Arabidopsis thaliana: one gene and its partners. The protein of the gene in region 2 interacts with the protein of the main gene of each other region in a biochemical or structural test. Each region holds a gene or a part of one and is shown on either strand. Other genes may lie near its edges.

What was found.
Region 1: of the proteins of KIN10 (region 2) and ICK5, one has a biochemical effect on the other in vitro, tested with the Arabidopsis thaliana proteins (one study listed by BioGRID).
Region 3: the proteins of KIN10 (region 2) and FUS3 form a complex in vitro, tested with the Arabidopsis thaliana proteins (one study listed by BioGRID).
Region 4: the proteins of KIN10 (region 2) and SNF4 form a complex in vitro, tested with the Arabidopsis thaliana proteins (2 studies listed by BioGRID).

Annotation. Positions count from the first base shown.
Region 1 is NC_003070.9:18,364,336-18,368,402, reverse strand, and holds ICK5 (Cyclin-dependent kinase inhibitor family protein), read left to right. Parts: upstream 1-1,658; 5' UTR 1,659-1,828; coding exon 1,829-2,122; intron 2,123-2,240; coding exon 2,241-2,293; intron 2,294-2,378; coding exon 2,379-2,564; coding exon of another isoform or gene 2,565-2,568; exon of another isoform or gene 2,569-2,641; coding exon 2,642-2,711; 3' UTR 2,712-3,067; downstream 3,068-4,067. UniProt on the Arabidopsis thaliana protein: Binds and inhibits CYCD2-1/CDKA-1 complex kinase activity. May target specifically CDKA-1.
Region 2 is NC_003074.8:30,247-36,488, forward strand, and holds KIN10 (SNF1 kinase homolog 10), read right to left. Parts: upstream 4,242-6,242; 5' UTR 3,898-4,241; coding exon 3,832-3,897; intron 3,735-3,831; coding exon 3,542-3,734; intron 3,418-3,541; coding exon 3,233-3,417; intron 3,131-3,232; coding exon 2,948-3,130; intron 2,856-2,947; coding exon 2,724-2,855; intron 2,608-2,723; coding exon 2,422-2,607; intron 2,331-2,421; coding exon 2,241-2,330; intron 2,132-2,240; coding exon 2,048-2,131; intron 1,975-2,047; coding exon 1,837-1,974; intron 1,752-1,836; coding exon 1,515-1,751; intron 1,305-1,514; coding exon 1,191-1,304; 3' UTR 935-1,190; downstream 1-934. Other genes in the region: AT3G01085 (Protein kinase superfamily protein), read left to right, coding at 1-109, 185-305, 566-576; HYP1 (hypothetical protein 1), read right to left, coding at 4,767-4,895, 5,076-5,309, 5,606-5,881, 5,968-6,242. UniProt on the Arabidopsis thaliana protein: Catalytic subunit of the probable trimeric SNF1-related protein kinase (SnRK) complex, a central regulator of cellular energy homeostasis, which, in response to seemingly unrelated darkness, sugar and stress conditions, activates energy-producing pathways and inhibits energy-consuming processes.
Region 3 is NC_003074.8:9,852,995-9,858,043, forward strand, and holds FUS3 (AP2/B3-like transcriptional factor family protein), read right to left. Parts: upstream 3,219-5,049; 5' UTR 2,755-3,218; coding exon 2,512-2,754; intron 2,321-2,511; coding exon 2,231-2,320; intron 2,149-2,230; coding exon 2,048-2,148; intron 1,725-2,047; coding exon 1,678-1,724; intron 1,576-1,677; coding exon 1,499-1,575; intron 1,415-1,498; coding exon 1,031-1,414; 3' UTR 834-1,030; downstream 1-833. UniProt on the Arabidopsis thaliana protein: Transcription regulator involved in gene regulation during late embryogenesis. Its expression to the epidermis is sufficient to control foliar organ identity by regulating positively the synthesis abscisic acid (ABA) and negatively gibberellin production.
Region 4 is NC_003070.9:2,898,843-2,906,993, forward strand, and holds SNF4 (sucrose nonfermenting-like protein), read right to left. Parts: upstream 6,021-8,151; 5' UTR 5,371-6,020; coding exon 5,246-5,370; intron 5,099-5,245; coding exon 5,011-5,098; intron 4,578-5,010; coding exon 4,401-4,577; intron 4,120-4,400; coding exon 3,997-4,119; intron 3,870-3,996; coding exon 3,810-3,869; intron 3,600-3,809; coding exon 3,510-3,599; intron 3,330-3,509; coding exon 3,195-3,329; intron 3,031-3,194; coding exon 2,886-3,030; intron 2,598-2,885; coding exon 2,424-2,597; intron 2,037-2,423; coding exon 1,973-2,036; intron 1,886-1,972; coding exon 1,816-1,885; intron 1,624-1,815; coding exon 1,506-1,623; intron 1,402-1,505; coding exon 1,307-1,401; 3' UTR 934-1,306; downstream 1-933. Other genes in the region: AT1G09010 (glycoside hydrolase family 2 protein), read right to left, coding at 1-58, 297-445.

The DNA of each region.
Region 1 (4,067 bases), on a different chromosome or scaffold from region 2:
CTGAGACCCTCTTAGAAAGTAGCTTGTCACAATGAGGAATGACTCTTCTTAGGTTCACGGTACGACGCATCAAATCTCTAAGCTCGTACTTATTTGTGTTTTACTTCACTGTGTTTTGTATAGTTATATATGCCAACATCATGACTTATCACAGTTGAAATTTAGCATTTTTACCTGAAAACACAGGCTTTAGCTACTGTTGCATTTGAGTTGTTACTTTTTTGGACAATTTTTCTTTCGTTTTAGCCTTTGCTCTTTAAGAACTAAGAATCCTAGTTCTATTTATATTCCATTATCGTATCAAGATAAGCTCTCGAGGATTTTCCTGTACCTTTTAGGTTATAAAACCAGTTTCGTTTGATTCACATTTTGTTGAAAATGATGAGTCAAAATAGACATTATATTCATCATTGGCTGGGATCGGATCGAACAGTGCCTGTTCTTGTTAAAACAAATGGCTCTCAGTCATACAAAAGATGCATCTATTATTCATCATGTGTCGTGATCTTGTTATTGTCATACTATCTAATGTGACTACTCATGCTTCATTTGTTTTTGTTTGTGTTTTTGAAGTAGGTCGTAGGTCTTAAACATTTCCAAGTGAAATTGAAACGCTTATTCTTTTAGGACATTGGCATCAAGATCTCTATGTTACTTTTATAAGTGAATTAGTCTTTAAAGTTACTTTTTATTAACATTGATTCATAAAGATAACTTTTGTAAATTAGCCCATAAACAAAGATACTTGTATTGATGAATCTTCTTCGTCTCATCCTTTTACCATTATCCTTGAAAATTCTGATTACATCATTATTATGGATGAAAATTAACGAAGAGTCTTCTTTTTTTTCTTGTGATAAATTTTAAAATTATTGAAGAAGCAGAATCGGACAATTGAAGCCTAGATTATTTTTTATTTATTTTTTGCAAAATGAAGCCTAGATTCTAATATTTCATATTTTCGATATTGTACATGTGTAACTTTAAAAAAAAAAAAAAAAAAATCCCAAGTAAATGCTTGTTAGCACAATTATTATGTAACGGTCAATTATTGCTCATTATTTCACTGCCAAAAAATAACGAAAATGGTCCCATTTTATTAGAAGGAAATAAACATGTTGTATGTGTAAAATTCTTAACCCATTTTTGGACATGTACAGATTCCATGTAAAAGCTGGATTTTAAGTTGGTTTTTTGTTGTTGTCATTTAATAAGTACTATTTAATTGATTGTATTTATAGTTCTGTCTCCATGTGAAGCTGCTCATAAGAAAGTGAATGCTTTAGACTCTAATCTATGTGCCTAGTTATATCCTTAAGAAGTTGATATTTAGAGCTTATGATAGAAATTATGAATCAGCAACCATCAGAATTATTTTTTTTGTTTTGACAAATGTATTTACGTGTAAAAGAATATAAGTTTAAGAAATCTATAGTAGAAAGTAGATTAATTAACAAAAATTACTGTCACAACTCACATTTCTACAGCTTATAGGACGACGTTTTAGTTTTGGGTTGCTTTAAAAGGAAGCTAAAAACGGCAAAAAAGACGCGTCGTTTAGAATCCCGACGGCGTCTACGCTCCGTAACGACGCCGTTACCTGCTTCCCCGTGAACGGGACTCAGTTTAAAGGACCCCACTCAAAACCGGCACAACAACGGCCCATCCGCTATAGGCAAGGCCCAATAATTAAATCTCAGCCGTTGAATTAATCAACGGCTCTAGATCCTTCATCTTCCTCTCCCCCAAATACCCAAAACCCTTCCTCTGTTTTTATTAACCAGAGAAACCCCAACTTTTTCATAAACTCTCTCCAGAGAAAACTATAATGAGCTTGAGAGAAATGAGCGAAACAAAACCCAAGAGAGATTCTGAGTACGAAGGATCAAACATCAAGAGGATGAGACTCGATGATGATGATGACGTTTTACGCTCACCGACGAGAACTCTTTCTTCTTCTTCCTCTTCTTCTCTGGCTTACTCGGTTTCAGATTCCGGAGGTTTCTGCTCCGTCGCGTTATCTGAAGAAGAAGACGATCATCTAAGCTCAAGCATCAGCTCTGGTTGTTCCAGCAGCGAAACTAACGAAATCGCTACTCGTCTTCCATTTTCAGATCTGGAGGTGAAATTTCGAAACTCGAGATTACAAATTTTGAAATTTCTCTGTTTCACAATAAATGCTCTCTGAGCAAGATCTGATTACGTTTTTTTGGATTAATTAATTTTGTTTCCGTTTTCAGGCTCATGAAATCTCCGAAACCGAAATCTCAACGTTACTCACCAACAATTTCAGGTTAATTACTAAAAAAGACGTTTCAAAGATTTTTCAATTTCTTCATTGTTTCGTCTATAAATTCATAATTTTTGGAATTTCACAGGAAACAGGGAATTTCATCAAGCGAGAATCTGGGAGAAACAGCAGAAATGGACTCGGCGACGACGGAGATGAGAGATCAGAGAAAGACGGAGAAGAAGAAGAAGATGGAAAAATCACCGACGCAGGCAGAGCTTGATGACTTTTTCTCGGCGGCGGAGAGATACGAACAGAAACGATTCACAGAAAAGTGAGTCTTTTTTAGACCCACACACACGCGCATGATAGCAGAGATCCTTAACTTGCAGTTGTTTAAAACATGTATAGGTACAACTACGACATCGTCAATGATACGCCGCTTGAAGGTCGGTACCAGTGGGTTAGTCTGAAACCTTAGAAGCCATGGAAGAACAAAAAAAAAAAGAAAAAGAAGAAGAGACAGTGCTAAAGTTACACGTCCTAGTACTGTGATTTTTGTCACAGACAGAAGAATTTTTAGAGACATTTCATTGTACAGTTTTTATCTAATTTTAATTTCATCATTATCTTCATCTGTTCTTCGTACCAAGAGTTTTTTTTTTTAACTAGAAGTGTTAACATATATTTGAGTTTAATTCTCTCTGTCTCGGTGATATTGTTGGATTGTTCAACAAAAAAAGTGGGGTTACAACAATTAAAAATTGGAATTATTGTGTCAGTAAAGTTTCACTAATTTTTGTCAGTTTTGTTGTAGTGAATTTGGTGTTGTGCACATTATTAGTATTTTCATGAAATTGGGAGGATTTACGTATTTATGAATTTGGAAAACTATTTATTGTTTTGATTCTCACCTTGGATGTTTATAGAAATTGTTTTTTTCTCTTCTTTTTGTTGCTTGTACTTTATATGCTATTTTATAACTTTTTTATTTTTCTTGTTTCGACAATTGTTTTAGTGAAACAATAATGGTAATAGGAAGAAGAAAATAAATATAGATTTTAAGGAAAATGGGTAAAATTAGAAAACCATAACGGTATATATATATCATACACTTGGTATGTACTTTCTCTATAGTTCGAATGAATATTCCTCTAATTTCCTTGAAATAATTTATTTTATTATTTTATCAAGAAAACTTTATGAACAAAGTTGAATGTTTATTTATCAAAAAAAAAGAAGCAAATTTGAAAGCTTTCTCGATGATTGACGTTTTTTTTTCTTTCTGAAATTTAATTTTCAAATTATAAATGAGCTTTACGGCAAAAAATTAAAACTTTAAATGGCAAGAATACAAAAAAGGAAGAGAGAGAAGAGAATAGAGAGGATCTCATCATTACCTGATTCCGTTGGGATTATATTCCCTTTTTTTAATTTTCTTTTCTTATTTTAATTTCCTACAGCAGGCAAAGGCGCGTGACTCCACGTGCTTTCTGTTATTTTAGTTTTTCTTTTCATTTATTCTTTTTTCCTTTCCCTTATTTATGTACTTTTTTTGCGAACTGACTGTTATTATATTTTACTTAACAACACGAATTTAAATTTGAAAAGAATTGAAGAAAATAAAAATAGTGCGATTAAGGAAAAAAACTAAATAATAATGTACGTCATAATTAGGTTACCTCTTCCAACAAGCCACGTGACGAGGGAAGGGTATTTTAGGCATTGTACTCACAAAGTAGTGAAACATATAATGTTGTGACTTGGTGACCAGGCAAATGTAAGTTTTGCTTTCTATTCTAACTGTTCCTATCCTGCCAGGTCAAATTTTTCACAA
Region 2 (6,242 bases):
GTTAACGATAAACGAAGACAAACCGTTTCTTAGGCCGCACGTTTCTCTGGACCCCTCTGATGTGTTGTTGTTCTCTGGCGTGAATCACAAGAAAACAGAAGAAGATATGGTAAGTCAAATTGAACCCGGTACCATCTAAACCGGCAGTTGGAATTCAATTTTAATTTTTGATAAAATCATGCAGGATTTGACGAATCTTGGGGCGAATCCGAAGATTTTTCAAACAAATGGGATGAATGAAATATTACGGAGGACTGAAAGTGATGTTAGAGTTGGTGTTCGAAGACCACCACGAATAGAGAGAGGTTAAAATTTGGGGAAAAAGCGAATTAAATTACCAGAATTTTTAGCCAAAGATATATATACATTTTTTACCTACCATCATGATTTGTAGTCCATATTTGTTTAATTTTTCATTTAAAAAAAAAAGCCCAAGTCAGTGTGAAATTATTCAATTTCAGGTTTACCAAAAGATAATTGTGTCTTTTTTTATTATTATTACAAATTTCCTTGTATTTTTGTGAGAGTTTATCTCACACTTGATGTGTTTTTTTTTTTTTTGCAGGAGAAGATTAACTGGTAGGTAAAACCACACGTTGGAAACTTTTGAAATTCTTTTTGGGCTTGTTTTTGAGTTTGTATAGTTTTTGGATCTTAGTTCGAAATAAACACATCAAGCTCATCCTAAATGTTCGTTTTTCAATGTCTTAATATTAGTAGGATGACAAAAACAAAAAACAACTATTTTTGAATTTGCTAATTTGTTTACACAAAAAATATAGTGTAATATTGACCCATCAAATAATACACGAAACAAAAACAACTACTTCTGAATTTGCTAATTTGTTTTCAATGAAACTAATTTAAACATCTTTCCTTCAATTTTTGTCAAAATGTCTTTCCCTTAACTTATTGATTTTAATCATAAGAAATATGGAGTAAACAAAAACAAAAATCAATCTTGGTGGCATGATGCACTACAAGTTATGTACAAAGTGTCTTTTTTTTACTCTTGCTCAGTCTTACATTTAAGTTAAAAGAGGTATTTGAGTAGAGCACGCATATAGAAATAGAAAGAAAGAGAAGAAGAAAAAAAGGGTTACGTTTTCTAAATAATTTCTTAGACGAATAAGAAAAAAAAAAAAAAAGGAATAAGTGGGGATTATTCTTGAAGAGGTCCGGTTTAGTATTCAGAGGACTCGGAGCTGAGCAAGAAAAGCAGCACACAGATCCAAGAACAAGAACTGAGGACCTTGTACTCTCTGCAAATCCAGTAGATACTTGTCGTCCCGAGTTTTATACAACTGTTTCACCATCAACAATAACAAACGTCATCAAGCCCAGAAAATATTGATTGATAGTTAGATTCATGAAGATTCACTCTAGTTCTAATTCAGTTACAAAAATGGCCATGGACACTAATACACAAAGCTTTCTTTCACTCGAAATCACACATCAGAAACAATGTCGTACGGGAAACCGATATGTATCATGAAGTGGAGAAGAGGATTTACCTGAATTTCAAACTTGACAACATTGGGCGACTTAACAGCTGCTTCGTTCTCTATTATGCTGGACTCGTCTCCAAAGTAGTTGTTATCGTGCATCGAGTTACTGAGCATACCATCTGCGCTGCTGTTAGGAACCCATCTGCACTTCATGTTGTAGTGCCCTATCTTCTTCCAACATACATTCAAATCTTGCAGGGCTTTCAGGACTTCCGTCATTATTTCACGGGGATGAGCCCGAGACTGTGCGATCAAATTGTTACAATATTAATCACATATATATCAAAAGCTGAAGTCTTTATACCATAAATACAGAAAATATCAAAACCTGAAGTCCAAGAGCCCATTTTCTCTCAACAGGGTATTGAGATCTCAAGCCAACTCCTTGATATTCCATCAGTCCTGGAAGCCGATGGCTAACAGGTGAAGCAACGCTTTCTGCTGGATGCATACGGGGAGTACCTTCCTGATTAAATCAAACAATGAAGCATTACGTCAAAGATCTTTTGCTAAAGTCGAAAAGGACAAAAAAGACTAACCATGGTCTCTTGAAACTCAGCCCCGAGATAACCACTAGAGGCACGGAAACGATTGTCCAGTATCAGATAGTACGTCACAGTGCCCTGGAAGACAGTCGGTAAGAATACAGTATTTAAGATCTTTTGATGGAATTTTTTTTAATCTTTGAAATGAAAGAAACAGCAAAAGAACAAGTGGGTGGGAAACACATACATCATTCTGGGTTCGGTTGCGGAGCGATTCGATGAGGTGGTTTCTGTCAAATCCCATATTGATAACTTCTTGGAGAATCTCCTCGTCAATCTACAAATGAAGACAGCGCTTTTACGCCTTTATCGAAAAATGGGAATAGAGATTTCTCTAATGAAAATAAGAGTAGATACGTTAGGCTTACCTTTTTTGCCTGTTGCACAGTATCTGGAGGAGGAACAGCTAAATACCTCGGAAGATGAGCTTGGAACCAAGGGTGTTGCCGGATCTCAGGGATGGTTACTCGTTTCATGGGGTCAACTACAAGCATCCGGGGGATCAAATCTCTAGCACCAGGAGATAAATGGCTAGGTAATGTGTATATCCCTCCCTATAGGACGAAAAGAGAAAAAAAAAAGGTTACAGTCGAAGGGTGATACGAAAAATAAAATAAAAAATTCAAGCATTAGTTCAAATAGACGAAAGAGGAGGAGTAATAGAATGTACCTTTATCTTCTTAAAAAGGTTGGGAATGTTTTCATCATCAAATGGAAGCGTCCCACAGAGAAGAGCGTAGAGTATCACACCACAGCTCCAGACATCTACTTCAGGGCCAGCATATAACTTGCCCGAAATTACCTGAAACAATTTATAGATCTCGACTATAACCTATCATTTGAAACAAGCCTAATTATAGTATTCCTCAGATACCTGAGGGCTGAAGCACTTACCTCTGGAGCGGCATAATTTGGACTTCCACAACTTGTCTTCAAAAAATGACCATCTCGCATTATGTTGCTCAGGCCAAAATCAGCAATCTTTACATTGCATTTAGAGTCCAAAAGCAAGTTTTCAGGCTTGAGGTCTCTGTGAACCACCATGTTTCGATGGCAGTATTCCACTCCTGATATTATCTACATCAAAGCCAAGTAGCTAATTCTTAACTCTCAAATATAATATAAAATCGAATGGTTGCTTGGAAAGTTACATGTTGATAAAATAAAATAAAAACATACCTGCTGAAAAAAGTTCCTCGCCTCATCCTCCTGCAATCTACCCTTCTCAACAATATAGTCAAATAGCTCACCAGAGTTCACATACTCCATGACAAGATAAATATCTGTGGGAGTCTCTATAACCTCATAGAGACGGATGATGTGAGGATGCATAAATAGTCTCAAGATTTTGATCTCTCTCCTCACTGCATCAAAGACCAAATAAGTTCAAAGGAAGGAAGACGAAAAAGAAGCTATATATTTATATATTCCAAGAGTACCGTGAAGTCACAACTAAGGTGGAATGGATACACAAAACAAAACTTGTACCTTTCTCCTCCATCTCCATGTTCTTGATTTTGCGACGATTGAGGATCTTGATAGCAACCTTATGTCCTGTCAATGCATGCTCAGCTATCTTCACCCTACCAAAGGAACCAATACCAAGAGTTCTCCCAAGCTTGTAATTTGGTAGAATCGATTCTACCCCACTTCTACTGCCTGTGCCTGATCCATCCATTCTCTACAAAAAAAGAGAGAGAGATATTAGATCTACTAGTACACAACACACAAAACAAACTGCAAAAGAGTAATAGGAACAAAAAGCAAGTAATTTTTACACTTTTGAAGATTCTGTGATCGATCGTTGAAGAAACTAAATTAAACTCATCTACTCGTTTGAACATGAGAATTTAGCGAGAATTAGGATCCCTTTTATTATCCAGAATAAACCAACCAACACTAAGAAGAGAGCTTAAAATAGCAATTTTCAGACTATCCCCAATTCGGAATATGAACCCTAATAATAATTCAATCGCAGAGGATTACTGGATCTCTCGTACCCGATTCAGAAATGACGATTTCAAGATCAATCCATTGATTTGCAAAAGGGCGAGAATTTTTTTTATTTCCGAAATAAGAAAATTGAGAGATATCGAAACTTACCAAAAATTAAAAAAGGCGGAGGAGAAAATTCGGAACCAAAAAATGCAGCAAAAAAAAGTCCCAAAATTTTCTGAGCTGAAAAAGTAAAATTGAGGAAGATCCAGAGATCAGCTTAAACCCAGAAATTATTGATAGATTCTTCCTCTCGCTTTCATTGCTCTCGCTCCTGTAGCCTATAAGGCGCAAGCAAGTATCAAAGACGAAATTATTTGATTTTTGGTTCCATAAACGGATCAATCTTTAACTAAATTACCCCCAGAGTTACGACTAATTACAATATATACCCCCATGCGGACGTGGCATCTAGTCATCATCTTTTTGCTAAATATTCTCTGTGGTAAAATTATTAACCACCGTTTTGTTTTGGCATCTTTCAAAAAGTTTGTACCGTCTTAAACCGGTTTAGAGAGATACATTGACATAAACTTTTTTTCTTTTTTACACAAGCCAAGTGTAAGCAAATGTACAAGACAAAAACCGCTTGATTCTCGGTTAAGACCCAATGTACAAGACAACCGGTTTAGTGTGTTCTTTCATGGATTGCACCAGGTATAGTAAACCAACAGCTTCAACATAAGCAAACTTCAATAGCTCAAGTAAAAAGGTGATCTCAAGGTGAGATATCTCTCGAGTCCTGTGATGCCGAAAGTGCAGGATCTCGGTAAGCAACAACGAGTTCCGAATAGAATTCAGACATGTTTTGCTCTCTCTCGTCTGCTTTATCTTTGTTTACCAGACACTGCAAAAGTAAAACATCCATCATCACCATATAAAGGTTTAGAGTAGATGCTGTAATGTAATAAAGGACTATGCATCATGTTCTGTTTGTTTTGTTTAGGTTAGGAATAAAAGATTATCTAGCCATATTTTTCTTCCATTGGATCAAAAATATGAGTAACTATTTCTCTAAAGCCTTTACCTGGGTAGGATAAGATTTGAAATTTGGTAAAAACCGTCTTTGGCAGTAAATGCTGAAAAGGACCGTGAGAACCGGAAGGGGAATTGTTAAAGAAGATGCCACTGGAAGCTCTTTAAGCCCGAATAATCCGACTGCAATAATGTGCATTAGTACCAAAGAGAAGATAGTATAGCTGTGAACTATTGGCCAAAACTTTCCACCAGTTTCATACTTGGCCGCATATACGTTTAGGAGCTGCAGCACAAAAAGGTGATGTTATTTCTATCAACAAGTTGCAATGGATTCATTAAGAAGAAAAAGAATTATGTGACGAGAAAATGGATTCTTGATGTAACGTTTATGTCATGACTGAAGCTCCAAAAAATACTTTCGGTTTAAAGATGCTATTCGAGAATTTAGAAAAGGGATCACATATAAAGAGAAGATAAAAGTGAGATTCCATATAACGAAAATATGTGTAGCTGATTCCTATATGATTTTATCAGAGATCAACAGAGAATTATACTTAGGAGTGAGATTGGTTCCGTTACCTGGTTGCGGTAGATGATATATCCAAGACAATAGTAGACCAACAAGAAAGGCAGTATCAATGGCGAAAGGAAGAAGTAAGTTATACCGAGGAGTCCAAAAAATAGAATCCTTGGGATTTCTTGGCAGAAAGGAGTTGAAGGAACCTCAAATTCTTTGTCATCTTCCTTGCCGAAAAGTTTCGTTATGAAACTCCAAAGAAGAGGAACCAAACGGAGGATCTCTGATGATAAACCAGTCCATCCAGAGGTCACAACATAAGATACAAAGAACGATGCCTACACCAAAGATTAAACAATAAACATGACTCGTGGTACGAAAAGGGAATTCCGGAAACCTCAATACTGAATTTTGTGTTCTTTACCTGTGCTGGCACAGCTGCAGCAAGCACACGAGGAATAGTCTTAGGTTCAAGGAACACATTAACACGATAAAGGGCAGATCCGGACAGTACATTTGCAAAGAAACTGTTCCATACAGTAAAGATTAGAAGCTTGATACATGCAGATTTCTCAATCTGGCTATGAGAAATGAATCCTTGCATTGAGGAAAGTAGAAGCATAATGGGTGGTACTATAAGAAGGAAAAGCTGGAAAATGAGACTCGGAAGATATCCCGTAATCACTTGACTCACGATTT
Region 3 (5,049 bases), 9.8 Mb from region 2:
TCTCTTCTTTTTTTTAAACCAGTTACATCCCAGAAAATAATATCTTAATTCCTATGACAAAAACTTAAAAAGTCCTATCGGATCTTATTTCGGAAACACAATCGGCTTTTATCTAAAGAATATTACTTTCATATAATATTCTAATTTCACAAGAGATGTTTCATGGTTTAGGGACGAAATTATATGACGATTAAAACAGACATGAATAAAGTTTATAATCCAATAGAGTGGTCTTTAATTTTATCGAGTATTTACTAAAGAAAATAATTTTTTTGCGGTAACTAGGTCTCCTAGATAAGACGGAGTGTTACTTCAGTTCAGTATAAGGTTTTAATCAATTGACAACCTCGAAGTTTAATAGTCCCCGAAAAGTTTAAAGCATGGTATCCTTTATTACTATACTTAGAAGAAGGAATGAGAAATCTTGGGTACCTTGAGGTACAAGATTATTGCAGTAAGATAGCTTTTATAAGGAGATGGTACTACAACTGTCACATTTTGATCTTTGATTAAATATATAGTAACTAACTACCTACTTATCAATTAGTTGAGGTGTTCTAAATTATGTGCTTTTTTTTATTAGTGATAACTAAATTTTCCTACGCAATGTGTGGGATTATATATATAAGATTGATGTAGCTTAATACAAACTTTACTAGCATAAAATGATTTTATCAACATAAATTGTTTCTAAACTTAACATCAAAAAATTTCAATCCTTAATTCTAGTATATATAATGATTAACGTTTGCAAGACAAACAAATAATCTCCAATAAAAAGAAAACTAGTATCATAAATCTTCTTTAAAGGATTAATAATATATTAACGCCGTAACACTAAATAACATTTATTCATCAAATACAACACACCTTCATGACTCACATCTAGCTATGATTTTCATATAAACTGTAATGTTATATTCAACACTTGATAATATATATGCAAATTGCATTTAATTCTTATATATATTATAAGGATATTAAATAGCTGATCACCATCAAGAATACCATGAGCCCATCGATTGATTATCTAGTAGAAGTCATCGAGAGAGATATTCTCAACGGAGCCCAAACCATCGAATGTTCCGAACTTGGAGTAATAATTATTAGTAGTCGTCGTATGTCCACCCAAAAAATCGAGAGGAGTATCGTTGGAGGTAAGAGCCGTCGTGTCGTAGACAAAAGACTCTGTGTTTGTGGTGACATCATCTATGACTGGATAATAGTAAGAACATTTGTTGCTGTTGCTGTTGCTGTTGTTGTTGTTGTTGTTGTTGTGATGATTAAAATCTTGGAGGAGAAGATCGTTAACCACAGTGTTTTCGATCCTTGTTAAGTTTGTGTAAACGTCGTCTTCTTCAAGATTGATTACGTCTACTTCTTCTTCTTCCGATGCTTTTCTTGCTTGTATAACCTAAAGTAAAAATAAATAAATAAAATTGAGCCTAAACATGTAACACGTTTTGTAGAATTTTCTTTTTAGTAGCGTGTAACGTACGTAATTGTTTGAGTAGAGATCTTGGTAAACCATGATGAAGTCACCTAGCTGCAGACCATGAGCATTCACAAAATCGCCTGGAAATAATACCCAGCTCGATCCAATATTTTTAACAATCATTGATTCGATTTTTTATTATCATAAAAAAAAACAAAAACCGGGATTGTCGGTAACTTTACCTGTGTTTTCTAGCACGTACATTCTGCTATTGTTGTTTGGCCAGTACCTAATGATCACAACATTAGGCCAAGACTCAAACATCTATGGTTTCTTCTAACGATCTCATTTACTTTAGCTTAGTCTTAAATGAAATGATGCTATTTTAAAGGTCTTAAGATCGACATGGATACATGAATACTTTCAAAATGATTGATCTACCAAGAATTATCCATGTAGATCTTAAGATCAGATATAACCTATCCGTTATAGATTCGTACTAGCCAATTTTGAAATTCTTGCTAACCAATTTTGTAACTGAATAGTTTGATTCAACTATATAAGCTATGCTTTGTTACATAACATTGATTAGGAGTAAAATGATAAAAGTACCTATACTTGAAGGTCCAAACGTGAAAACCGTCCAAATCTTCCATTCTTATAGGAATCCCTTCCTTGCATTCAAGTGCCGGCAAGTGAGCCTCCGCGGCTTTCTATATGGATCATCATCATTAGTTATCATATCAACACCAACATCATTAATCATCATCATGATCATATATAATCAAAGATCACCTTCGGGAGTATCATACGTCGGAGAGAGCTGACGTCACTGTTCTTGAGTTCCTTTTGGAAGAGGAATCTTAGCTTTCTTGGGTCAATTTTCTGACATCATCACAATATACATTGAATCTTTTTAATAAAACCAATCCAATAGAAAAATATACAAAACTCTAAATCTATTTTTATTTGGATCCTCACAGATCTTATAAAAATAACAAAAAATAGTTTTGAATTAATAATATTTAGAGAGAGAGAGAGAGAGGGAAAATAGTAAAAAAGAGTGAAGAGCTTACACGTGCGGGGAGAGGAGTTGGCACGTGGGAAATAGGAGGCATAGGAGGAGGGAAAGAGAGAAGGTTAAAGGAAGAAGAAGATCGTCTCTGTCTAGGCATCCTTCTCTTCTTCCAGTTAACACCAAGAAGAGGCACAGACGCCGATAACCCATGATGATCATGACCCGACCCGGATCCAAACCCATGATCAACACTTGCCACTAAAGTAGAGGCCTTGGTTTCCACATTTTCATCAACCATCATTTTTCTCTCTCAATTGGTTAACACTGCCTAGTAAAAAGGAAGTGTGGAAGAAAACAGTTCTCTGTGTGAAGGAAAAAAGAACAAATGGTGGATCTCTTTGGGTTTCAGTGATAGAGATAGAGAGAGAAAGAGAAGATAGATAGAGAGAGAAAGAGAGACTGTGGTTTGTGTTGTGTTGTGTGTATGTGTGTTGTGCAGATCGAAACAGAGGCTTAAAATGGACGCTGGGCAATCAGAGATTTGGGTTTACCATTGGTTTTTAATGATTTTTGTTTTACTATTTATGGTAAGGAAGTGACATTTGTATAACCTACATTCATGAATCTAGGGTTTTGGAAGATTAAGATTTTCTAAATCTTGATAAGATTATTATGATGATAGTAACGCAACAAGATCTAATGCCACTAAACTAACACTCAACCATAGTTTAGAGATTAGGTTAGGTTAAAGTTTAGAACCAAGAGCAAAGGGACGAGTGGATTGTGCATGGTGAACAAGTGTAGCAAAAGTTCTGCTTCTTTCCTTTTTTCCAGAATTCAATGGCGTCTTCTTCTCTCTCTCTACCACATTTAACTCTAGTTTTAAAGTCAATTTAACTCTCATTACTTACTGGTCAACATGTGATTTGTATATACGTAGATTCTACGACTTTTTTTTAGGGATAAAGAACATTTTTGCGACCAAGAATAAAGGCTTTTTGTTTCTACAGACTTAGACGATAACTGATTTGGAAGAGAAGTGAAGGATTCATTGTACCTTTGAGATTACTTGACTTAGGTTGAAATAGCACATTTGTCTCATAGCTTAAAGCTAGAATATCAAACTCCCATACGAAAATCGTTACTTGACTTTCATTTAGTAACGCCCGTATCAGAAAAAATTATGGAAAGATGAATGGAACAATATAGTACTCCATTAATTATATTTCAGAAGAAAAAAAAGCGACAAAAGAAATATGTTTTTTTTGTTAAAGTTAAATTATAGAAAATAAAGAAACATGAATTGAATTTTGTAAATTATGCATCTAGTTAAAACTATGGAAATGTGTAATCATTTCGTTAATCTATCAATATTCGACGAATAACAGACGAAAAATGTGTAATGGTATTTATAATTTGTTAGTATATACAACTTAGATTGACACAAATTTATCTATCATCTATATATATTGTTGTCATTGTTACTAACAAATACCATTTATATGCCATATTCTATAATTCGTCGAATGATTGATTATCGACATGATAACACATTTCCATGGGTTTTAACTAGATGCATACTCTTAGAAAATTGCAATTCATGTTTCGTTATTCTTCTATGATTTAACTTTAACAAAAAAACCATACTGTATATGTTTGGTCGATTAATATTTTTCCTGAATTTAATTAATATTTTGTTCGATTCTACTTTCCATTTTTCTTGATAAGGGCGTTACTAAATGATAATCAAGTAACGATTTTGTCAATTTTAGTAATATACTAAAATAATTTTCGACTCTGCACGAATATATTAGGGGAAAGTATGGGTGAGGAAGAATACGTGACGTTAAAACGTTTTTGATATTTTTTGTTTTCTTTGCATGGACAAGTGGCAACTATTCTCTCCAAATTTAATAAAAGATTCTTTCTCTTTTTTTTCATGACTTTAAAACTCTAATGACTAATGAGTTTTCGAAAACAAAAAGAAGATTAAATAGTTACTCATGTTAGTGTACATATGTATAATGAATTTTAGCTTACAACTATAGTGATAGATTGATAGTTCATGATTTTTGAATGAAAACTAGTCAAGCGATATTTGACAACTAATTACAATTTAAAAGTGCATAAAGAAAGAAAAAGAAAAATTCACTCACTAAATTTGGAGAGAATAGTTGCCACTTATCCATGAAACGTTTTTCATTATATCACAAATGACGTATAATTTAGTAAATCGAAGCTATATTTCATTTGATTACTTACTTGACTTTTGTTTTATTAGAAAACTATCTCAGGCCCTAATATAAACTCAATATAATAGATTGCATATTAAATCGGAACTAATTAAACTTTTTCTGGCCAGCCACATAATATAGTTAGATAATTCTTCGACTCTAAATGGATATGTTTTGGAATGGTGTTGGATGGGGAGGATTTAGAAGTTAAAAATATACTTAATTAATTTCAAAGTGGTTAAGAAAAAAAAAAGAGGATTCTCTCATTCATTTTGGAGGGATTGCATACCACTTGTCCATGTATAAAACTGATTTTATGCATTGAAAGTGGCATGTAATCTCTTCAAACTTATGAGAGTATC
Region 4 (8,151 bases), on a different chromosome or scaffold from region 2:
TTCAAGTCCATAAAAAGGATCCGGAATTGCTTTGTTTTTCACCAATGTGCCCAATACACTGTTCACAATTAAGATCCTATATCAGTAAAATCTCTCATTCATGCATGAAACAATTAGAGGTATTTACATAAATAAAAGCTGATTCATAAGAAGAAGAAAATTAATTATTAGTTATCAAGGCAAAATCCAAACTTGACAGACACATTCGAACAAAATCAAATACTTAAACAATTGTTCTTACTTTGATTATTAATAGCTTCAAATTTTCGAAGAGGAAAGTGAACACTATTACTTACGTTCCAGGTACGGCGGCTTCCATCCACCGAGATTCGGAACTGATGGCCGGAGGATTGGTGGTAGTGAGCTGAACGCCGTTGACATCGACCTCCGTGGATCTCGCCGCTATCCAGCCGAAATCTAACACCGTCTTCCCGATCTCCGCCATTTTAGTATCTGATCTCAGCTTCTGGAATGTTTATGTCGAAAACAGTTGAGAGAGTTGATGAAGAAACTTGTTGGACTGGAAAAACGAAAACGTTTATTGTCTGGATAAGCCTAAATAAGTAAATAGAGTAAATACATTTTTCTCTATCACTTATTATGTCATCAATTATTTAACACTTATTTTTAATGACATTAGATTTTATTTTTTTTGCTCAAATATTTTTTAAATGACATTAGATTTTTTTATTTTTTTTTAGTGTCACTAGATTTGATTGAATTTTGTATTACTTTTATTGATATATTTTAAGAGCTATTGAAAAATCCGAAAGAAATCGATAATGCTATGATCAAATCACTCGATTAACCATTACTGAATATTACTTGTCATTGTACTTTTTTACTTGTTATTGTACTTAAGGTTATGATTCGTTATGATTGTAATTGTATTAATCATTACTTGCAAACTTCAACCATAAGGCTTATTCTCGCTGGTGACAATTCATCTTTGTCAACCAGTGCATTGTCCTACACTTCTACGGCCTTCTCATGCTGTGTTGCTTTTCGAGTCGATGAAGTGAAAAACTCAAAACCAAAAAAAAATGGAAAAAAAAAGAGGGAAGAAAAAGCTGAGGGAAGCTACTAGTAAAAGATTCCGGTAGCCAATATCTTCACAAGAATGGAAACCCGTTCAACTAAAACAACAAAAATAATAAGAAAACAATGATGAAAGAGGTTCGTAGCAAATTTACAAATTCCTTGCAAGAAGAAAAAAAAAAAAAAAAAAAAAGAAGCAAATTGTTGGGTAGTTTTGATTGAGGGGAAATGAGAAAAAGAGGTTGGGGAGGTTGTTTTGCTGTGGGAGTCAAAGACCGAGCAGGAATTGGAAAACATCGCTCAGTGAAATGATACCTTCAACACGTTTGCTCCCTGCTTCCACTATCACCAGCCTCCTTACACCTGTTGTGTTTTATATACACAAACCCAAACCCCAGTTACATCTCATCTGATGTTCCTGTGTCAAGCAACAAAGCTGAAGATTGTATATAGGAGATAGTGTGTACCTGGATTCGCCAACCGCTCCATCACTTTCACAAGAGAGTCTGAGCGCAAGCACATGTGACATCTCTGCCCGTTGAAGATTCCATAAGGCGGGCTCGCATCTTGCCCCAACTGTAGCGCCTGAAAACCCACAAACACATTATCCTCCACTTTATTATAACGTTTCATCTCTTCTTTCATTCTTGTAAAGATGTATGTTCAAATAAATCAGAAACGAGGCAATTTCCATGATAGATAGGCAGGTTACATTTAAGTAAAACTCGTAATTTGATGAGACATGTGATGGATCTTGGTTTCTGATGAGAGGTTTACCTGGTGAACTGTCATGTCATCAAGATGAATCTGTGCGTATGCCTTGTCTTTAGCCAGAGCAGTTATATCACTGGCCAATTACAAATATCATCAGAACACAAGGACGTCAAAGATGGAATGCATAAGACATCATGTCGATTGATGGATAGAGGTTTACCTTCGAGAGTATATGTCAATAAGCGAGTCGTTGTCATCCACTACGGGAATTGAACTGACTTCAGCTGTAATAACCAGGAAACATAAATTAAGCATGACTCATTCATTCATTTCCATCTATGAGGAACCAGGGAAAAGATCACGAGAAATTCTATAAATATATCTGCTTTAAGATTGACAAAAATGTTTCTATGTTTTTAAACCTCGTTAGTTTACTCATGTTGCAGCAATTACATCTGTATAAAAATAATAAAAGTGGTCGTAACATCTAAAGTTGGTTTGTTGGTCTGCATTGACTTGAGTATACCCATGTGTTCAGCTACTTGATTATATTACCATCTAGACAAAATATTTAAAACTGAAAATCTGATTGTAATGTAGAGGTTGATAGTCTGAGTTGCAGATGAGCTTTGAATAAGATGTTGCTGCAACAAGATAAGAAAAAGGATTACCTTGAACTAATAATGCGAGCGCAGAACCCAAAGAGGCGTGAGGTCTCAATGTAGCGAGAGGTTTGCTACTTGATTCTCCGATTCTAGGGACCCACGTACCCAGGGGAATTGAACAAATGGGTTGCTGAAGGATAGGTAAAGAGCTAGACGAATGTCTAAAGTATCTGCATATACCTGGAAGATTATGCTTAATTTAGAGCTTAAGTGTCTGATAAAGGCATAAATTTCGAAAGGAATTATTAACAGGGAAAACTGTGTAAAAAGTTTGGTAAAGTCAATTGCAACTTTAGTTTCTAATTTCCCTCCCTCCTAAAGATCCCATCCCTTCACAGAATTTGGAGAAATGAAGAAGTGGGAAAATTTTGGAAATAGCAGAATCATATGCACGTCATGAATTAAAAAGTGAGAAATGCCAAATTGGCGCGCTTATCAGTGTCTTATTCACAAATGAAGGGACCTTACATTTTAATATGCCTGATAGCGAAGCAAGATGCAGTAACTGCGGATATGAACCATCCTGCAAAGAAGAATATATAACCGGAACAGCTGCCACCTTGTTTTGCAAAATTTTCAGGGCAACGTCTTTCAGATTATCATAGGGTCCAACCTGATAGCCATATATAAAACCATTAATAGCAAGAGAGAAATACTACTAGCTCTTTTCAATATAACATGCAATAGAAAGTTCTAGGATAAGGCTATGTTCAGAGATTACGCAAACAGAAGAAAGTTAGTAGTAACAGCGATACAAATCAACTGTGAAAATCTCACCTGAACAAGTGGCCTAGGATATGGTCTCCCACTTCCATCATATTGCCGGCTAATATGAGCCTTCCCCTCTTTCCAGGCTGCTATTGTGTGCGTCTCAAGCTCTTCCTCTGTCAAGTTTGATCCATGAGTTCCAAGCTGCAATTTTACAAATTTGCTATTATACTCAAGAGTGAAATTTCATACTGAGAAGCTAGTAAAACATTTAAAACTATGTGATTTATGAGATATCCAGACTTCCGTCTTGGAAATTCTAAGAATATACAATAGTAACTCGATGGAATGCTCTAGCAAAGAACAGTTTTAATAGAAGCCAACCTCTCTCAGTATTAGAATGAAGTCTAGTGGACCAAGAACTCCAACAAATTGGCCTTTTCCAAAGTCCCAAAGAGGAGCCAAAGGGATTCCCTGAAAGCATCTGGAATTAGCAAAAACCAGAAAGCCAAACAATCTCGAAGTATAATTAGACGAATGTTGTTCACTTAAGTTTCACTTCCTTCCCTTTCCGGGTCTGGATGCAACAATATTAGAATGTTTATATGACGGTGAGAGACAGAGAGATGAACATCCTAACAAGAACAGAAGCTGACACAAGGGTAATTGGCAAATAAAGTAAACCTGCTCATAGAGTATATGGAATGCTTGCTTCACTGGCAAATTAACATCCAATGCAATAACCTGTAAAATTTCCAATCACCTTAGACAATTTCCGAGTAAGAAGCCAAAGGTTATTCTTAACTGATAATCTATAGGACATGAAGACAGAAATTATCAATGATCAAGCAAAAAGAAAAAGAAACCAAACCTTGCCCGATTCTGGGAGCAGCTCATATGCAGTGCGGGTTGACAATAAAACCGATATGCGGTGACGAGAAAGCTCCAAATCAACCCCCGACATCCTAGGAACAGCTTCCTGGGACGGGTCAGCCTACAATATAATCACCATGTGAAAGCAGTCAGAAACTCAATTTGAATGTAGTCTCAGAGACAATTTAATGGAACTTAAGGAATCCTGCTTTATACATTAAGATAAAATGGTCTAAAATCAATTATACTTGAACTAATGACAAACAGTTAAAAATAATCTGAAGGATACCAACCACGGATCAAAATTAAAGAAACCAAACTGGAAGCAACTCGGGAAACCTGAACCATCAAGCAGCGAGAATAAACACTGCATTTTGGAAAAGGAAAGGTCAGATTCCTTACCGTTCGCAGGAAGACATCATCCACATCCATATTCGACCGGCCCAGTGTCTCTGGGCTAAAACCAGCAGGAACCATATCTGGCCCAGTTATAAATATTGTATTCACTACTCCACCATTTCCGCTTACAAATGGTTGGTGCTCATCGTGCCGCCATTCCCCATCAACAAAAAACTTATACTGCATGAGAATGAAATAACATAAATGTAACATTAGTGGCTTCTTAAGCATCTCACATTGTAATAATTAAAATCTTGTTATATATAGTACATCCAACTGCCAAAATATATGAATCTCTATACACACACTGTAGCCTTTATTAAAAGAAGTGATTTAGGTATCACACAGCATGAAGACCCCAACTTTTGTTATGTGGATGGTGATGTATAAAGTCAAATTTTGATCAATTAGCAAGGAAATTTGCAATTTTCAGCCACAGTCATACAAATATGACAGAGGTATATAAGATTCTCATTGCATAGGTTAAGTATCCAGAGACTAAATGAAGCACAATTATGGACATCGCTAAATCACTACAAGGACATAAATGCTTCTGCAGGGATTAATTAACAAAGAATTTGCCATGATACAGGTCGAGTACAAGATTATTAACCTGATGATATCCTGGCGTCAAGTTGCAAATGACTTGAAAAACAGTAGGGCAGCCCTCGAGCGGTGACATTGGCACATGCTCTGTCCACCTGTTCAAATGCCCATTTCAGAAATCAGTCCATGGACTGCAAAACCCCGATAGATACTATACAGAGCACATACTCTACACAAACCCCGATAAATAGCTTAACTGAAATATAAAGTAAACTATCCTAGTTCAAGCTCAGTCATCTCACCTGGTGAAAGATCCGCTTAGGAAGACTCTTCTACCTCCATAAGGCCACACGAAGCGTGTCGGAGTAAGAAGCTGCCCTGAGGCAGCGCTGTTTCCACGGCTGCTATCCAATGTAGAACCAAACATCCCCTCCCAGTAGTTATATAGTTACAATCCACAGAAACTAATTCCTAAAAACCTTCTGAATCGATTCTTAATGCGTAAAATAATCTCGACTCTTCAGCAGAAGAAACAAAACCCGGTGAAACTTCAAACTTCAACGCTTACACATGCAGAGAGTCCGAATTCAATAACGCTACCATAAATTCCAGCAACCAGTAAACCGAAACCCTAAAAGCCCAAATCACGATCTACAACGAAATTACTGAACTCTTCCCCCAAACCTAGGTAGAGAAATTCCACCAACACGAAACCTTGTAAAAGAGCCCTAAACTCAAAGCACGAACGATCTGGCTACAAAAGCAAAGGTCAACTGATTGACAATACACACCACCTGGAAAACGTAGCTGAAAAATTCCGAGGAAAAGAAGGCAGAGGAAGTCGCGGCTCTGATCTTTAAATTCGGGGAGTAGAGAGACCTCGATGATGATCGGAATTGATTGAAGGGAGGGAGCAAGAATTAGGGATTTGAAAAGTTGGAGAGAACCCTAAATAGAGAGAGTGGAGATGGCATTGTTTGGATCTGGGCAAGGAATGATGTTAATGGTCTTTCAAGGTGAAGAAGAATCTGAGGGCGAAGAAGCGCTGCGTAATGAAAATGTTGTTTTTAATCCATCGACAAAGATATGGTTTTTTTTTTTTTTCTCTTTTTTATTACTGTATACAGTTTTTCCGATAACATTTAAAAAAAAAAAAAAAATTCTACTTTTACATAACTGATTATTCTTCTCTTTTTTCATAATAAATAACTATATGAATTATGCAAATAATAGCATCTAATATATAGTTTTAGTCAACTATCTAATAAATCATTTCCTATATATATAATATATCACATAAATGTTATGAATAAATTAGACGAGGATCCAAGTTATTAAAAATATTTCCACTTTAAAATTGTATCTAGTAAATTCTTTTTTTGGTATTATTTTTTTAAACTCATTTGTCTTTTCTGATGTTAAACAGTACTATAAATCAAACAAAACCAAACTAACATTCAAAAACGTTTCAAAATACACTTTTCTCTTATTCTCTTGTGTTTTGAAGCAGGGTAAATAAATAAAGTAAAAAGAAAAGCCATGTTTTTTTTTTCTCTAATTTTTATTGTGTCAACTCTTATAATTTCTTAAATTAAAGAAAATAAATCATTACATCCCACACCAATTTATTATCGGGTTAAACATAATCCATGAAATTACATTGTACATCTATTCTCGGTAGACATGTAATACAGGGAGACAATCGTGTTGTCTTCCAAGTTGACATTATTTGAGGGAGAGGAGACTTCATGTTTGAACCCTAGGCATGCAATTACATTTTATAGTAGATTTAGCCTTAGAAAGACCTGTAAATTAGGGCTAAAAGCCTAAAACCAAAACACGACCTTGAAGAAAAAAAGAGTTCGGTTTCTAATTAGTTTTATAAACTCTAAATAATCGAAGTGATGTAACTTTTATTTGTTGTGAGTATATATTTTTAAGTTGGATTTGAACTTTCTTATAGACATGACTTTATATAAGTGTATATATCTCGCTCTTACTCTAATGTTGTTTATCTTTTTCCTCAAAACGTATATAAGTCCCCCGGCCCTCTCTTTCAGTACTATTCTATATATACACTTACTCTATCTGTCGGAAAACAGCAAATGAGAAAGACATTTGTAAACAATGGTCATTTTGGCTTGTTGGTTATTGGGCAGCATTCACGGTCGCTGGCTAGTATGGACAATTGGATATATATACTCCTTTAATGGTCATAACTTTCATCTCAAAATCTTGATCGCTATATTTGGGCATTGAAAAACAGGCCAACAAAGTTTTTTTTTTTTATCTCATAAGGGCTCTTTTTAATATTTGGAAAGTCTTCATTTGGTTACATATTGTTAGAACATCTTTGGCTCTCGTCCTAAACATCCGTAACTCCTTCGTCGTAATTCTGGTTATGTATATGATCTTTGGCTCGGGAACTAATTCAAAGAGTTCTTTCTTCTTCTTTTCTTTCAGTTATGGGTTTTGCATCAGATTTCGAGAAGAATTTCTTTAGCCTCCACTGAATACATTTTTCTCTTAGTCTAAACAACTCTCCAATTACATCACATATGCTCCTTCTTTCTTTCTTTTTTTTTTTGATATGAAATCAATCAAAGTGAAAAGCTTAGATTATACAATATAGCATAGCCTAGTTCTTTGTAACCTTGCCCAAAAAGGAATTTAAGGAAACATCAAAGCTGGGAAAAATATTGGGAGACTAACGCGCAAGCAGTTTCATTGATGGTTCTTTCTCTTTCGGGTACAAAAGTCAAAATCTGAGTTTATCATTGATGGTTCTCTTGTAGGCAATTTCTGATGGTTCTCTTTTTCTCCTTCCAAAATAGATAGTCCATAACTCTTTGTCCGTAAGTATAATTTCGATGATTTTTGTTTTTTGTTTTACGAGAACGTTCACGTCACCAGAAGTATAATATCATTGAAATTAGGTTTGGAAGATTACACAGTTTTGTAAAAATAGTTAAATAATTTGTATACCAATTTTTCTTGCACATTCTTTATTTTGTTTCTCGTCAGTCAAACGAAAACCTAATCTGAAATATATATGTGTTCTTACATAATGCCAAGCTTTAAAATTTCATTAGAAATGAGTTGTTCCCGAATAGTCCACTACTACAAATAGTTAATAACTGAAGAGAGAAAACTAAGATGGTATCAAATAGCACTTTTCTTTCACTTGAAGAACTTTTGACATGCGTGC